Linked DNA regions of Drosophila melanogaster. The protein of the gene in region 1 purifies or fractionates together with the protein of each later gene. This does not show direct contact. Each region holds a gene or a part of one and is shown on either strand. Other genes may lie near its edges.

Region 1 (8,227 bases):
CTTGGTCCGCTTGTCCTGCTCCTCGCTGCTCCCGCTTCCACTTCCGCCTCCGCCGCTCAGCGCCGGCAGCTTGCGGACGATCTTCTCGATGGTGTCCCGGTATCTGTCCACCTGCCGCTCGATCGCCTCCAGCTCCGAGTCCTTGCTGTCCGACTTGCTCGATCTGCGAATGCGAAAAGGACCATTTTGACACGGGTTTAGCACGGGTTAGGTCATCATCGGCAGTCCACTATTGTTACGGCTGTCATCGCGCTTTGTTATTGATGCAGTTGCTCTGTGGCTGCTTCTCTGCTGCTTTTGTTGTTGTTGCTGCTGCTGCTGTTGCTTCTTTCGTGATGAGGCAACACACACCTGTCTGTCCACCTGGAGCGCACTTACACAAACACACACCCACAGACATCCGACCGACAGACTGGCTGGCCTTTGAACTTACCTTGACAGATTTTCGGCTGCTATTTTGATTTTGGCAAACTGCCTCTTCATCTTGGCTGATTCGCTGGTGCCGCTCGCGTCTCCAACTTGAACTGAACTGCTGTGTGTTTGTTTGCGATGTGCAATTAGCTGGGCATTGAGTAAATACTTAAAACAGGCAAATTAGTCATTCTTCAACGATGTTTTACGGAAAAGTGAGGCGGGTGTGACCGCAGCGGGAGCGCTGGGAAATGACAAAAGGCTGGAGAGCGCCTTTTTCGAAAGTTCGTATTTGGTAACACTGTTTGATAAATGCCTGTTGAGATTTCTCAGAGCTTAGGCTAGAATTATGAATTTAAGCAATGGTTAATTAATGTTTATTAAATTTCAATCTCCTTTAATCTGAAACCATTGCTTAAATTCGCTGAATAGGGGAATACCCCTTACTACTTGTAGCGGTACCAGACATTTGCGCTAGGGTAACCACTGTCGAAAACACCCGAATTCTGTGGGGTCACACTGAACTCGACCGCCTTGCTTAGCTGCACGTGTGCGTGCGTAAATAATAGTTTTATTGTTATTTTACTCTCGAAAATGACCCAGGCGGAGATCGTGAAATGTCTGCGGGAGGAGTATGAAATCGAACACAACAAGGATCAGAAGCCGGAGAAGGAGGACCTGCCCGCCATCACCAAAAAGTTCTATCAGCGAGTCTTGGAACTGCTGACCATTCACAAAGTGCCCTACTCCAAACAAGAAGGTGAAACCATTAATGAAAAGCCTTAAATCTTTAACTTTATCGTATTTCCTACAGATGAGGAGACCTACGAAGAGTACCTGCTGTCGGACACGGAGGAATCGGGAAACAAGAAAAAGAAACAACAGGGAAAACTGAAAAACCAAGACTCCGACGACGAGGATGTAGAGGCACGCATTGCCTCCATCAAGAACAAGCTGCGCCAGAAAAAGGGACCCACAACGGAGCGACAGCAGAAGCGACGCGAATCTAAAAAGCTTAAACGCAGCAAGGGCGTCCAGAAACTGCTCCTCTCCTCGGCCAAAAACCTCAAAAACGAGAACGTCAAGCACCAGAAACTGAAGAATGGCGTGGTGAAATCAGAACAGGAGACGGAGGACAGCAAGGAACAGATCCAGCCGGTCAAGGTGCAACCGGTTTACAACCAGGAGGCCAAGATCGTCTACTCCAAGGTGGACTTTGCCGCCAATCCTGGAGGCAAAGCCAAGAAGTCTCACCAAAACCCCAAGGAGATTCTGAAGAAGCTGCGCGACACCAAGAAGCACCTAACCGAACTGCGCGAACAGGGCGAAACGGACAAGGCGGCGGAGATCCAGACGGACATCGCCTGGCGCAACGCATTCGACAAGGTCGAGGGCAAGAAGGTCAAGGACGACACCAAGCTGCTGCAAAAGGCCATCAAGAAGCGGCGCGTGGAGAAGAAGAAGTCCAAGACCAAGTGGACTGAACGCAAGCAGAAGGTGGAGCACGACAAGGAAAAGAGGCAAAAGAAGCGACAGGAGAACCTGGAGAAGCGCAGCAAGGACAAGAAGAACCGGAAACTAAAGACGGCCAGCAAGAGGGGTCGCATCATACCCGGCTATTAACTATGCTTACTATAGCCCTTAAGTGTAAAGTAGTGTAAATGTATGCCACGTTGAAATTCAACTCAGAATGCTTTAGAAAAAAAGTGATCTTTCTGAAATTTACGTTTTTATACTTTCGTGTTAGAAATTTACTTTTCCGGCCTCGACACAGTCAAAATTCCAGTAGACAGCTAAATTCCCAGTTCCAAGCCACACTATTTGGCTCCTCGTTTTTGTCCACTTTGTGTCACTTTGTGTTCCACTGTGCGTTGCGCGGCTTCACCAAAGATTGGCAAGAAGAAGAACGGCGAACAGCTGAGACCGATAACAACAATCGATTGATATCGTAATCGTTTAGTTGGATTGCTGCGATTTTTCCAGATTTTCCGAGTACTTACAAGAGACAAAAAGTGGATCAGATAATGCTGGAGACCCTAGAAATTTGTGGATCTTTTAATACAGTATAGTGACCGATTTGGCAAGAAGAAGCAGAGCGAGTGGGGCAGCCAAAACAACGAGAATCACACGCACGCACACAGCCACAAAAATTACGTGCAGAGCGCAATCTATTCCCCCCATTTTCCACCGAAAATACAGCAAGGCAGGCGGAAAATCATCCAAATTGCGACGCACTTTGGCGAGCGACGGATAACCAACAAGTGGATATAGAAAAGCAATCCCTGCAAAGCGAGGCATCCCCAGCAGAAGTCACAACAATAACTTTGCAGATCAGCAGAGCAAGAAGAAGAAGCGGCCGCCAGCTGAGTAGCAAATCGGTGCAAAGCAGGGGCGCAGGGGAATCCGAGTCCAGGAGCAACTGCAGCGGGCGCGGAGGAAGCGGTAGACGGAACAGAGGCACAGAGGCGGCGGGCAGCAGCCACCATGAGCATGGTGCGGCGGATTATCCTGCTGGGCCCCAAATACAGTGTGTGGGCAAAGGGTAAGTGCTGTGCCGTCTTGTTGTTGTGCTGCCAATCGCATACGTAACTGCGTCATTAGCCGTGAATCGACAACAACTGGCAATGGCAACTAAAAAACAGCCTGCAGTTTACCAATCTGCATCGTAATCCCAACGCTCCCCCCGCCATTTGGCTTATCAGAATTTTCTAGCTTCGGTGCTCGCTGACACTTGTCTAGTGTCAAACAACCAAAACACTGAATGAAGGTCGTCTTCTTTTGATACCAAAAAGCTGCTGCTCGCGGTCAACGGGCCACAGTGGCGTCGCTGAAAAGGGGTTTCACCCAACTGATTTTACATTCACGCACTCACACGCATCTGATTGGAGGCCACCCCCCTTGCCGTTTCCAATCAGACAAGCGTGGCTCTTGGACCAACTGAACTTGAATTGTTTTATAAGGCCCGAATGGCCAGTTAGCGCAATTACTGCTATTGCCGCTCTGACGCAATGATTTTTTGTTTTATCATTACATGTCTGCAGTGGAGCAATTTCTTACACTTTTTTAATGGCCCACAGTTGGTTATTATATTTGCTGGCCTGCAAGTTAGGAAAGCGAGAGCCGGAAGTTTACCCAACACATTTCACTGAAAAAAACTAGCCGAGATTGTTTTCTACTGTCAAATTCACAGCACCTGTGAATTCCGAGATTAGCCATTATCAATTCCCTGCTTGATTGGCACTACTGCGAAAAAAAGGTGCGAGTCATCTGCGATATCGGAAGATGCTAATTGCCCTTGGCCTCCACTTGTTAGTTTGTTTTTGTGGGCCAATCTAGAGACTCTGTTCCCCGGATTCCCTTTGTTGTTATCAATTGCCTGTGCTTCGGAAAGCATTAACCCCACACATGGGGTCGATGCTTCCATTTTGTCTGCTTTGTGCACGAGACACAATTTAAATCTTTAGAATCCATGCACAGTGGCTAAAGGTCTCAGATGACTTCCAATTTTTATTTAAATTTGTATGCCATTAAAAACAGTTTCCAATACTTATACATGTACTTTCCATATCCAGGAAGCGGAGCTGGTCAAACACATGGCTCGGCAAGATGCGTTATCCTAAGCGCAGGTTCTGCGGAGAACAGCGACTGTGGCGTACGACGCTTTCACCTGGCAACGCGGAACTGCGCGAGGAATCGACTGATGAGACTGGAGCCCGCGATGGCAATACCGGCGTATATTGATGTAACTAACGCACACTCAAGAACGCCAGAGGACTCCAGCGAGAGTGGGAGCGGCAGCGAAGGGGGAGCCAGTGCGTCGGGAGGTAGTGGAGCGAAGAGCCCCGGCGGTGCGGCTGGGTCTGGAGCAAGTTCGACCAGTGGTGCCGATCCGCCAGGCGGTGGCAGTGACAAGTTCCTCTCGTGCCCAAAGTGCGGCAGCGCCTGCACCCAGGTTGAGACCTTTGTCAGCTCGACGCGGTTCGTTAAGTGCGCCAAGTGCAACTACTTCTTCGTGGTGCTCTCGGAGGTGGAGACTAAGCAGCGCACCAAGGACGAGCCCAAAAACCAGCGCAAGCCGCCACCTCCGCCACAGAAAATCATGGAGTATCTGGACAAACACGTGGTGGGCCAAGATTTTGCCAAAAAGGTGCTGGCGGTGGCCGTCTACAATCATTATAAGCGCATCCATCACAATCTGCCGCAACTGCAAAACCAGGGAGCGGGTGCCAGCAATGGAGCCGGTGGCGGCCTAGATGGTATTCCTCGGCCCGATCTTCTACACATCACCGGTATTGGTCACACGCTGAACAGCTCCCCGGGCAACGAACTGCCACCAAAGTCGCCGACTCAAATGGGCATGGGCGGAGGAATGGGAGGACCTGGACTTGGAGCAGGACTAACCGGCGCATCATCTAGCAATGCGCGTGGAGGTGGCGACAACCGGTCCGGATCAGAAATACTTGACCGCCAGTCCACCGATGTCAAACTGGAGAAGAGTAACATTATCATGTTGGGCCCCACGGGATCCGGTAAGACGCTGATCGCCCAGACGATCGCCAAGTGCCTGGATGTGCCCTTCGCCATTTGCGACTGCACCACGTTAACACAGGCGGGCTATGTGGGCGAGGACATCGAAAGCGTAATTTCAAAGCTTCTGCAAGATGCCAACTACAATGTAGAGCGCGCACAGACGGGCATTGTTTTCCTCGACGAGGTGGACAAAATCGGTGCCGTCCCCGGAATCCATCAGCTTCGTGACGTTGGCGGCGAGGGCGTCCAGCAAGGCATGCTGAAAATGCTCGAAGGCACAGTGGTCAACGTGCCGGAGCGTAACTCCCCGCGAAAGCTGCGTGGCGAAACGGTCCAGGTGGACACCACAAATATCCTTTTCGTGGCCTCTGGTGCCTACACAGGACTGGACAGGCTTATCGCACGTCGTCTCAACGAAAAGGTAAGTTAGCGATAGTTACTCAGACTTCGCTTACTAATTGCATCTTAATGCTTCAAGTATTTGGGTTTCGGCATGCCATCGACCAGCGGATCTGGCCGTCGTGCAGCTCAATCAGCCGCCAGTCCCATGGACAACGACCAGGAAGAGCGTGATAAATGCCTGACCAAAGTGCAGGCCCGTGATCTCGTTGAGTTCGGCATGATACCGGTAAGTAATCGGAGGTTCAAATATAACTCCGTAGACATACATTGTAACTATTAACATAATTATAAGCTAGCAGATTTTATTATATTAGTTACTCATTTTGATTATTTTAAAACCCAAATTGTTGTGCAGGAATTCGTTGGACGTTTCCCGGTTATCGTTCCCTTCCACAGTTTGAACGTTAGCATGCTGGTGCGCATCCTAACCGAGCCGCGAAACGCTCTAGTGCCGCAATATAAGGCACTGTTGGGTCTTGATGAGGTGGACCTTACGTTCACCGAGGATGCTGTGAAGTCGATAGCCCAGCTTGCAATGGAAAGGCACACTGGAGCTCGTGGACTGCGCTCTATAATGGTAAGATATTGAATTTGTGAGACACATATGGCATATACCTAAAACATGTTTATAATCCCATCCAGGAACAACTGCTGCTGGATCCCATGTTCATAGTGCCTGGTTCAGACATTCGGGGTGTTCACATAACCGCCGACTATGTTAAAGGCAGCGCCACCCCCGAGTACAGCCGCGATGCAGACGCCGCGGCATCTGGGACTGTTGCCACGGATTCCGATACCACAACCGATAATGATAAGAACTTTGAGAATAGTGAGAAAGTACGACTAAAACAGTAAATCAAACAGAGATACCCACATCCAAAGCCAACCAAAACAGAAATCGAGACAACACTTGAACAAAAGAGAAAACTTTCAATTCGCAACGCTTTCCGAATTGCTTGTTCTTTGCAAACTCTTTTGTCTTCTATCCACTACTGTTCAGCTTGTTAAACTCGTCCAGCTGCTTAATTTCGAATCGTCAGCGCTAATTTCTCGCATAAACACAATTTAATGTTGAACCCTTATGATACTTTCATTTGCCCACTCTAACATGTATATTTTTTAGTCTGGTTTGAATGGTAAATTGATTGGTGCGTCGTAGATCCCTACCTCGAACCTATCACTCTGTAAAATATGAACCGCTGAGGAGTGTATACATTTATAAAGAATGTCCTCAATCCCCAAATGCATCTGTGATTCATAAACGACGAGCAGCGCAGTCTTTTGAGCCCGAAGCAATTGTAAGTGGAACAACAAATCCTAAAGGGATATTTAAATAAATGCCACAGTTTCTTAAACATTATATTACACAAATATCGGAAATCTGCAATGTTGGCAATGATGTGGTCCATTGGCGCTAGGAACCTCTTTTGCATATAACAATTATATATACAAACGTAAACGTATATTTAGGCAAATTTTTGCATAGTCTAAATTGAGTTTCTAAATGAGTTCTTGTAGCGTTGTAAAGATGACAAGCGAGAAGCACGTTCTACCTTTAACTAATTTAAGTTGAAAAAAACATTTTTAAAACAAAAAACAAATAAAAAAAAATGAAAAAATTTAAAGCTGGATGCTAATTTTCTTGAGAAATCGATATGCTTTTTGTACGCCAAGGGTTACTAATGTAAATAACATGGCAAATTTAAATTTTTAGTTTTCGTTCATTTTATTTTATTCATCATTCAAATTCAACTAAGTCTGCAGAACTCATAATAAATAATTTGAATTTATTGCACATAATGGACTAATGGTAGTTCCTTCTTTTTGTTTGTTTTTACGTTTCCTTTTCATCTCGTAGTATATAAATTTGTATAAAAATTTGTAAGTTAATAAATATCTTTTGGCGACCCTTAATCGTTTTCCTCGGATATGAGCAGTTCGTATTCCTGTGCCGCAAACCGATCCCAATCGGAGGTCTGCGAAATAGATAATAACATAATTAATAATTATATTAATTAATTATTCTAAGTACCACTTACATATTCGTCACGCTGTGAGGCAAACGGATCTCGTTGTTCGTGATCTAGATACTTCTCCAGATTGAAGAAGGTATCGAAGAAGACGTGCGTCATTTTGCATCGTTTCAAATCGCCCAGCGTGATACAGTCCCGATTTGCTGGCTTGATCATATCTAGCATCTAATATAAAAAAATTAGATTATCTTCCTTCAATCGGAATTGAATATCCGATCCTCACCTGGCACAGGCAGTCCTCGAAAGGCAGGCACTCAATGCCGATTCCCTCCATCCTTTGCTGCTGCTCCTCGTAGAAGTATTCCAGTTCGTACATGGACAGCACTCCATCTCCGTCGACGTCCATACATCTAAACCAGTACTCGATGGCCGTCGGCGTCCGTTTGTCCTCCTCCGAGAGGATGAACCACACAAAGTCCGTGTAGGACATCTTGGCTTCATCTTCCGGCGCCTTTTTGTTATCGCTGCGCGTTACACATCCCGAGAAGATTCGCTCCACGATGCGCGATGACAGGGCATGATCGCTGTGCTTGGCCAGATCCTCCTGGTTGATCAGCAGGTCGTGGTCCTTGTCCAGTTCCCAAAACTTGCAGTAAATCACGTAGAAGTGCTCGTAGCTAAAGAAGGCCATTATCTGATTGATGTCCTCTTCTTCCTCCAGCAGACTGATCATCTGTGGGCGGGTTTCCAAATGTACATTATGTATTTCACAACAACATTGTTATATTTATATTTTTCAGATATATCATTGATATACTTTTCTCACCTCCAGCAGATCGGATCGTTTTAGTTCGGCTATTGTGATCTTGCCGCTCCAACTGCGGTTTACCGAATAGAAAATGCGCGCGATG
Region 2 (7,390 bases), on another chromosome or scaffold:
TGGACGAAGGGGGGGGCAGCAATGGCGGAGGGAAGGGGGAGGGCAAGCCGGCCGCTTTTTGCGTGGCAATTTGTTTGTGTGTATTGCAATTTCTGGCTGCACTCTCTCGTTCTCTCTCTCTCTCCTTCTCGTTCTCTCTGTCACACACACACACACACACACACACGGGAATACTTAAGATTTAAGCTACATATTTTTTTTAAAATATATTTCCCCCTTTGTAATGTGCATTTTAATCAATTTTCTCGCTTACCAGTGGCGCAAATAGAGAATGCAACCAGACATCGTTTTTTTTCATTTTTGAGACGGCACACTAGATCGCACCTGTCAAACGCAAGTTATTTCCCCCTGAGGAACACAAGAATCCGTCACAATTTGCAGTGTAGTTACGCACACACATACGCGCTGCCAATACGAGTACACCACAACACGCACACAGCTGCAGCGGGAAGAGGAAGCGCGATTCGCGAACCGCCGTGTGCAACGATACGTTTGCAAATGAAATGCAATTTCCAGTTCCAAATTCGCCACAAAAGAAAGCTACGTCGACGCCGACGTCAACGGCGGCGTCTGCTGCAGAAATGACGCTCCGCAATAGCAGCAAATGAATAGGGAGCATGCAGTTTCTCTTAGTCAGGTGGATTGTTCTCTTTCTTTGCGGTGCATTTACAGCGCACTTTTGGCATTGCAAACACAAAGACAGCTCCGAAAAATTAAGCTAGAATAAAACATGCATCGTATGAAGACTACAAATATTAAAGACTATTGCTTCAAAATTCCAATGTGACCCATTATTTGTGAATTGGGAAAAGATTTGTTTCTATTTTATTTCTCGAAAAAGTTTTCAAAATAAAAGTCCTAAGCTTTTTTTAATTATTTTTTTGTTTGTCTTGTATTAACTTTTGTATTCGCTGACGATCTTGAGACCGTTGGCTGGCTTTGTTTTGCTTTTTTCTGAGTCCCACTGCCGTGCTGTTGTTATCATGTTATCACTATTAGGCGCTGGGCGTCTTTGGATGTCGATTATGTGTGGTGTACATATGGGTCTGGAGTGCTCCTAGGCAGAGTTGTGGATGTTCAGACGGAAGATGTCGTGAGCCACGAAGAGGGATCCTCCGTTGGGCTTCAGCAAAAAGATCTGCGAGAATGCATGTGGGGGATCGTCATCGCATTTTAGTCTTCCAAGGACGATGATCAGAACTCCGCCATCGGAAGTTGGCTGCGAATCCACTGTGGTTATCACTCTGGCAATCTTCTGAAAGCTCAGACTCTGAACTTTTTCCAGAATCTTGGGTGCTCCCTGTATTTGGTTGCCTTCAAAGGTCATGAAAGAGTCGGTAGCGTTATAGAAATTAATCACGTTCTCCCGATTCGCCGGGTCATCGAATATGGCGTAGTACTGCTGGACAAATTCCTTGCCAATGTCCTCGTACTGCAGATTCAGAGACATTTTAGTTCAAGTATATACGGGGTACGATTAGAGTTTCCGATCCGAAAAAAAGCAAATTAAATCGGTTAAGCTGACAGGCTTAGGCACTGTTCAAATATCCTCTCGTTTGTGTCACCGCTAAGCTGATACATTTGATTTGAACGTTTTGGTCCCACCGAAAACAATCGATTGTCGCAGGTAAACATCGATAGGCGCGAAGAGACATCGGTTTCAGCCGCACTCGTGCGAACGTCATTTTAATAATAAGCTCATTTATTAATTAAAACCGAACGATTCCGCCATGGCATCCATCCTGAGGACGGGCAAACTGCTGCGCTACTTCGCCGGCTTCACACGCAATGTGCTGGTGAACTCGGTTCGCGAGAACGAGACGAGCAATCTGCTGAACAATGCGCCCTGCATGTGCGGCCAGTTCCAAAAGTGAGTAAAATCTGGCCCCAAATCGCCGGCATTACGCAATGTGCTCATGTATTTACGTGATTAGTGGGGAATCGTCCACTTTCCAGCGATTGAATCCCGAAAAGAGGCGCACGTGCCGCCACTTGGGATCATCGCAGTTGCATTCGACTGATGTCTCACATATTTACATAACCTCATCCGGATTTGGAGCGCCTACTATGTGCTCATCCAATTTTGGCCTTAGTCGAGCGTTTTTCTTGTAGAAAGTCTAGTTATATATGTAGAAAGAAGCTAAATATCTTATTTTTATTCAAAAAGCAACACGATTATCTTATAACAACTCAGTTTCTCATTAAGGTCAGCCGGAAAATAATCTATAAGGACGTTAGGATTTTGTTAATTCATATATCTTTATATATTAATTAAGTTTATTTTTAATTATCTTCCTAGTGGTTTTGCCACGAATGCGGCGGCCAAAGCTGAGTTGAGTTTGGATAAACAGATTCGCCGGCTGGACCAGGATGTTCGTCGCATTGGGCGCATCTCCAGACGCGATCTGGAGGAGGTGCTCGATGAGATCCGCTCACACAGGACGGCCACCAGCTCGCAATCGCTGCTGGTGATTCGCTGCTGCGGCAACCTGGTACCGGAGGAGCTTCCCGAGGTCAGAACTGCCTTGGTGCAGGAGATCTGGAAGACGCTGAATGCGCTGAATGTACCCATGGACATCTCGCACTACAATGCCCTGCTTCGCGTTTACCTGGAGAACGAGCATGGGTTTGCTCCCACCGATTTTCTGGCAGAGATCGAGGCGAAGGGCATCGAGCCCAATAGGGTGACCTATCAGCGATTGATTGCTCGCTATTGTCAGCAGGGAGACATTGAAGGAGCCACTAGGATTCTGGAATTCATGCGCGCCAAAAGTCTACCCGTCAACGAAAATGTCTTTAATTCACTTATCCTGGGTCACTCGCAGGTTAGTCATACAGAAATAGATAGGTGGTAGCCATGTTTTTAAATTACTTTTTAAACGATTCTTTAGGCCAATGATTTGGAGTCCGCCAAGGGTATCTTGGGAGTGATGATGCAGGCCGGCTTGGAGCCCAGTGCTGACACCTACACCACTCTCCTGTGCGCCTTTGCGCGCCACGGAGACCTGGCTGCCGTAAAGGAAACCCTAGCTGAGTGTGAGCAGAAGGAGATCATTTTGCTGGACAAGGATCTGCTGGACATTGTGTACACTCTTACCGTCAACGGCAATGGTGAACACGTGGATGACGTTCTGACCAAGCTTCGTCTCTCGCCTGGTTTTAATCAGGATGCAGTGAACGTGATCCTTCGGCTGGTCAACAAGGGACACGAGGATGTGGGGCTGAAGCTCCTTCGCGTGATGCCAAGGAGCAGTCGTGTGAACGGTGAGCCCGTTGATGTGGGAGCTTTCTTCATCAGGCAGATGGTTAAGGCCAATCGGCCAGTGGAGAAGATCTTGTCCATCTGCAAGAGCCTGCAATCAGAGGGGCTTAATCCCAAGGCTCTGACTATTGCCACCGAAGCTGGCTTGACCAATGGCGTAATCAATAATGCGCTTCCCTTGCTGCAGGAAATGAAAAATGCTGGCTTGCCCATCAGGCAGCACTACTTCTGGCCTTTGATCTGTTCCGCGGAATCTAATCAAGTCTTGGAAATCGTACGTCGCATGCAGCAGGAGTTCTCAGTTTTCCCCAACTCCGAAACGGTCAGAGATTATGTCATTCCCAACTTGAAGGAAAAGAACTGGGAAAGAATCGTCACCTCTCTGAGGGATGCTGGGGTTCCCAACTCCACTGCTGTCACCTCGGCCGTCTACTCCGCATTAGTGACCCACCAGATTGCCGAAGCAGCCAAGATTATGGAGAAGAACAGAGCTTACTACGTGCCCTTCTTGTTCAAACAACCTTTGATTCTGGCCCTCAGCCATACGAACGATTATGCCTCCTTCATCCGATGTGTCCGCCAAATTCACGAAGGATTGCAATTCAGGCAAGGCAAGGATGAGGAAGTTGAGCAGGTAGAAGGCGTGGCTGCCGTTCCGACGGAGCGCATCACTCCCGATGTTGTAGGTGCAATAGTCCAGGAGGCAACCACCTATTTCCGCCGCGATCGCGGGGCCACGTTGGAGAAAATCCTCAAAGGGTTGGTCAAGCAGGGCTTGTCCATTAGCAGTGACAAAGCCACCCAACTATCCGAGCAGTTGGGTTCCGAACTGACTCCAAAGATTTCCGAACTTCTGGGTAAACTTAGCTCGGGAGAACTGGAGCCAGTTCCTCTTCCAAACAGCGGCAAGAGAAGCCTGGATTCGCTGTCCATCAATGGTAAGTTGTTAGATGTTATTAAAATACTTATCTAATATCTATATATTTTCTTTCAGAACTCGAGCGATTCATTGTGAATGTGGAGGGCAAGGGAGAAAATGCCAACAACATCAAGAGGCAACTCCTCAACGCCTGTTTCCGTTCGCAAAACTTGGAGAAGACCCTCCAGGTCATCGAGAAACTCGAGGCCGAAAAATTCCAAATCCCCGTTGGCATTTATGCCCAGCTCATCGATCTGAACACGCATCACAAGAAAAGCTCTGAGGCCTTAGAAATCTATGGCAAACTTAAAGCAAAGGACGCCACTTTCCAGTTGGATAACTTGAAGGCGGTTCGACTGGCTGATCTTCTCTTGCAAGAGGAACGCGTGGATGCTGCTTTTAAGATACTGGAGGAGAACAAGAAGGAAGTTCCCGTAGCCGAGGCCGAAGGAAGCTATAATTACATGAGCACCGTGTGGAGAATTTTGAACTCACTAGCCGAGGCCGGTCAGCCGGAGAGGCTGCGCAAATTGTTCGACGTACTGGTGGGGGCCAATTATATTGTGCCCACCAATGTGCTGCTGGGTCCACTGATCAAGGTTCACCTGGTCAAGGATGATATTCCCAAGGCAATCGAAGCCTTCGAGGAGATTTGCCAGAAGTATAAGTCCACGCCTTGGAAGAACGAGCTGGCTTGCCGTCTAATACAGAAAGAAGATGCTGCCAATCTGCAAAAGTTAACAGACTTGAGCACTGGAATCCATGGTGAAGTAAACAGCCTTTACGATCTGGTCTTCTCCTTTGTGGAGTGCGGCCGTGTGCGGCAGGCCAGGAAGATCCTGGAAACCCCCGGACTGCGTACCCGTCCGCAAAGAATAAACAGTGCCTGTGATCGTTACAAGAATGAGGGACTACTGCAACCGCTGGAAGGTCTTATTGAAGCCACGAAGGACCTGGGACATATCGACAGGAATAAGATTTACTACACGCTCCTCTTGAGCTACGACAAGGCAGATGAGGCGGAGAAGGCTTTGGGACTGTGGACTAAAATGCAGGAGGAGAATGTGACACCAAACGATGCTTTCCTTTTGAAATTGGCAGAAATCCTGAGTAAGAAAAATATTGACGTGCCTTTTGTGGTGCCAGAGACCCAAAACGAACAAGCCAAGGCCAAAAAAAGCAAAGCGAAAGATGCAACGACAACAGAAGCAGCCACAGAAACAGCTAAAGTAGCAGAACAGCCCAAGGAGAAGGCTGCGAAAAAGGAGCCAGCTAAAACGGAAACAGCAAAGCCACCCAAAACCGCCTCCCATTTGTCCGGCTTCCGCAAGGCAATCCAGGCCAATGATCCAGATGCAGCCATCTCGCATAAACAAAGTGTTCTGAGTGGCGAGAAAATTGGAGCTTTGGACACCTCTCGACTGATCGAGCTCCTGGTTCGAGCTGATCGCTTAACGGAGGCCACCAAGTATGTCGAGGAGCTCCTGGGCGATAAACTGCACCCGCAGCCCAAGATCTTCAAGTTTTACCTGAACAAAATTGCCGCTGCAGGCGATCTGGAAACAATGCAGAGAATTGGCCAGCAGCTGAATGACGAGCAGAAGCGTCTGATTTCCTTTGACAATCGGTTTTGTCATGCCAATATAGTGGCCGGAAAGGCGGAGGAGTTCCTGAAGCACTTGACCACAGAAATCGATGCGGCCAAAACTCCCGAGGAGTCAACCAAGCTGGCTGAGAAGTTCCCACGCGGAGGAGCAGTTGGCATTTTGGAAAAACACCCGGAATTGGTGCCGCAATGTAGGTCCCAGAAATGCCTATTAAACAAGTGTTAAAACTATAAATTTTTCTGATAATTTTCAGATCAATCCCTCGCTGAGAAGTTTGCTGCTCACAATCAACTAGGACCCATGAATGTCCTGTGGATGCATTTGATTTCCACTGGCCAGGAGGCGGCTTCTAAGGAGATTTGGGATAAGCACCTGTCCAATGCCCCAAGGCTGATGTTCCAGCGCGTTTTGCAGACGGCTCGCGAGCAGCAGGACGAGAAGCTCGCCTCCACAGTCATTTCCCAGCTGAAGAACAGCAAAATCTCCGAGGGCGCGATCGGAAACGCGTACTCCTGCCTCATTGACATCCAGACTACCAAGGGCAACTCCGACAAGGCCATGGTTGTCTTGGCCAATGCCATTAAGGACGTATCCTTGGAAAACATCAACAGGACAGCTCTGCTGCGTCTGAAACAGGCGGTGGAGGAGAAATCCCAGAAGTTCCCCTACACGATCCCCGAGAAGCGGACGAAGGCCGACGACTCCAGCTCGTCCTCCTCTTCATCCTCCAGCGACGACGACGTGTCGCCATCGGTACCGGAAACTGTTCCACCCAAACCGGACAGCAAGGCCTAGAGGTTTCTGCAAAAGGTCCTTGTTTAGTGTAGGCCGTCGTGATTAAAGCTTATTTTTAAAGTATTTACTATGGATAAACAATTTGTAAACTAAAATAAATTTAGTTGTTTTGTTGCGAAAGTGCGCCAGTTATTTTTCTAGGGGATTCAACTGAGCGATAAAGGATCTTTTTTACTATTTTCAAGATGAAGCTATCATTTTTAATTTTCAATAAAATAATGGTTCAATTCATTCCCTTAAGACAGATCCTAAAATTAATTGGAAGCACGCATGATGTTGTAAAACACGATTGCCCGTTTTGGAGCCCAAAAATCGCTAAAAAAAAAAAGTTTCGTTTCAAATTTAATGTTCTTGTTCCATATCCTTGTTCCATTTTCGAGCTGATATTCGAAATTTCTGCAGTGCAATGAACCAAATATGTTATAACAAATATATTACACTGTTTTAGTCGTAAAAAAATCGTTGCCCTTAAATATTGAGGTTCGCTGTGCTATAAAATTTACGATAGTGCCATATTATAAAATTAATTTTAAAATATCATTTTTTCTAATGTGGAACTTGAATTTAAATTTTCAGTTCAATTTAAAAAACACATTTAGCATTTCTATAGCTGACTATCGAAACTACAATTTCGATACGATTTAGCAGTCAAACACATGTGTATATCGATACCGTCGCCACTGGTGTCCCATCTCTAATTCTATCGCCGCGTTGTGTTTTTTGCTGCCCAATAATTTTCATCGTTGTTTTCCCTGAAAATTTCTCGAAATAAACGCGCGATGGGGGAAAGCGATGCCGAGAGCGATT

Evidence for each region.
Region 2: the proteins of ClpX (region 1) and bsf purify together in Drosophila melanogaster (affinity purification with western blotting, with the first as the bait; one study listed by BioGRID). This does not show direct contact.

The regions. Positions count from the first base shown.
Region 1 is NT_033777.3:19,897,567-19,905,793, reverse strand, and holds the start of ClpX (caseinolytic protease chaperone subunit), read left to right. Parts: upstream 1-2,104; 5' UTR 2,105-2,895; coding exon 2,896-2,953; intron 2,954-3,983; coding exon 3,984-5,362; intron 5,363-5,419; coding exon 5,420-5,569; intron 5,570-5,698; coding exon 5,699-5,920; intron 5,921-5,985; coding exon 5,986-6,180; coding exon of another isoform or gene 6,181-6,198; exon of another isoform or gene 6,199-6,466; coding exon 6,467-6,502; 3' UTR 6,503-6,641; exon of another isoform or gene 6,642-7,253; coding exon of another isoform or gene 7,254-7,319; intron 7,320-7,382; coding exon of another isoform or gene 7,383-7,541; intron 7,542-7,599; coding exon of another isoform or gene 7,600-8,049; intron 8,050-8,142; coding exon of another isoform or gene 8,143-8,227. Other genes in the region: RhoGAP92B (Rho GTPase activating protein at 92B), read right to left, coding at 1-163, 434-483; Surf6 (surfeit 6), read left to right, coding at 1,006-1,171, 1,226-2,034; CG4733 (uncharacterized protein), read right to left, coding at 7,254-7,319, 7,383-7,541, 7,600-8,049, 8,143-8,227.
Region 2 is NT_033779.5:18,448,827-18,456,216, reverse strand, and holds bsf (bicoid stability factor), read left to right. Parts: upstream 1-1,629; 5' UTR 1,630-1,730; coding exon 1,731-1,870; intron 1,871-2,299; coding exon 2,300-2,825; intron 2,826-2,891; coding exon 2,892-4,200; intron 4,201-4,256; coding exon 4,257-5,978; intron 5,979-6,041; coding exon 6,042-6,583; 3' UTR 6,584-6,700; downstream 6,701-7,390. Other genes in the region: Ntf-2r (nuclear transport factor-2-related), read right to left, coding at 1,058-1,450; ncm (nucampholin), read left to right, coding at 7,363-7,390.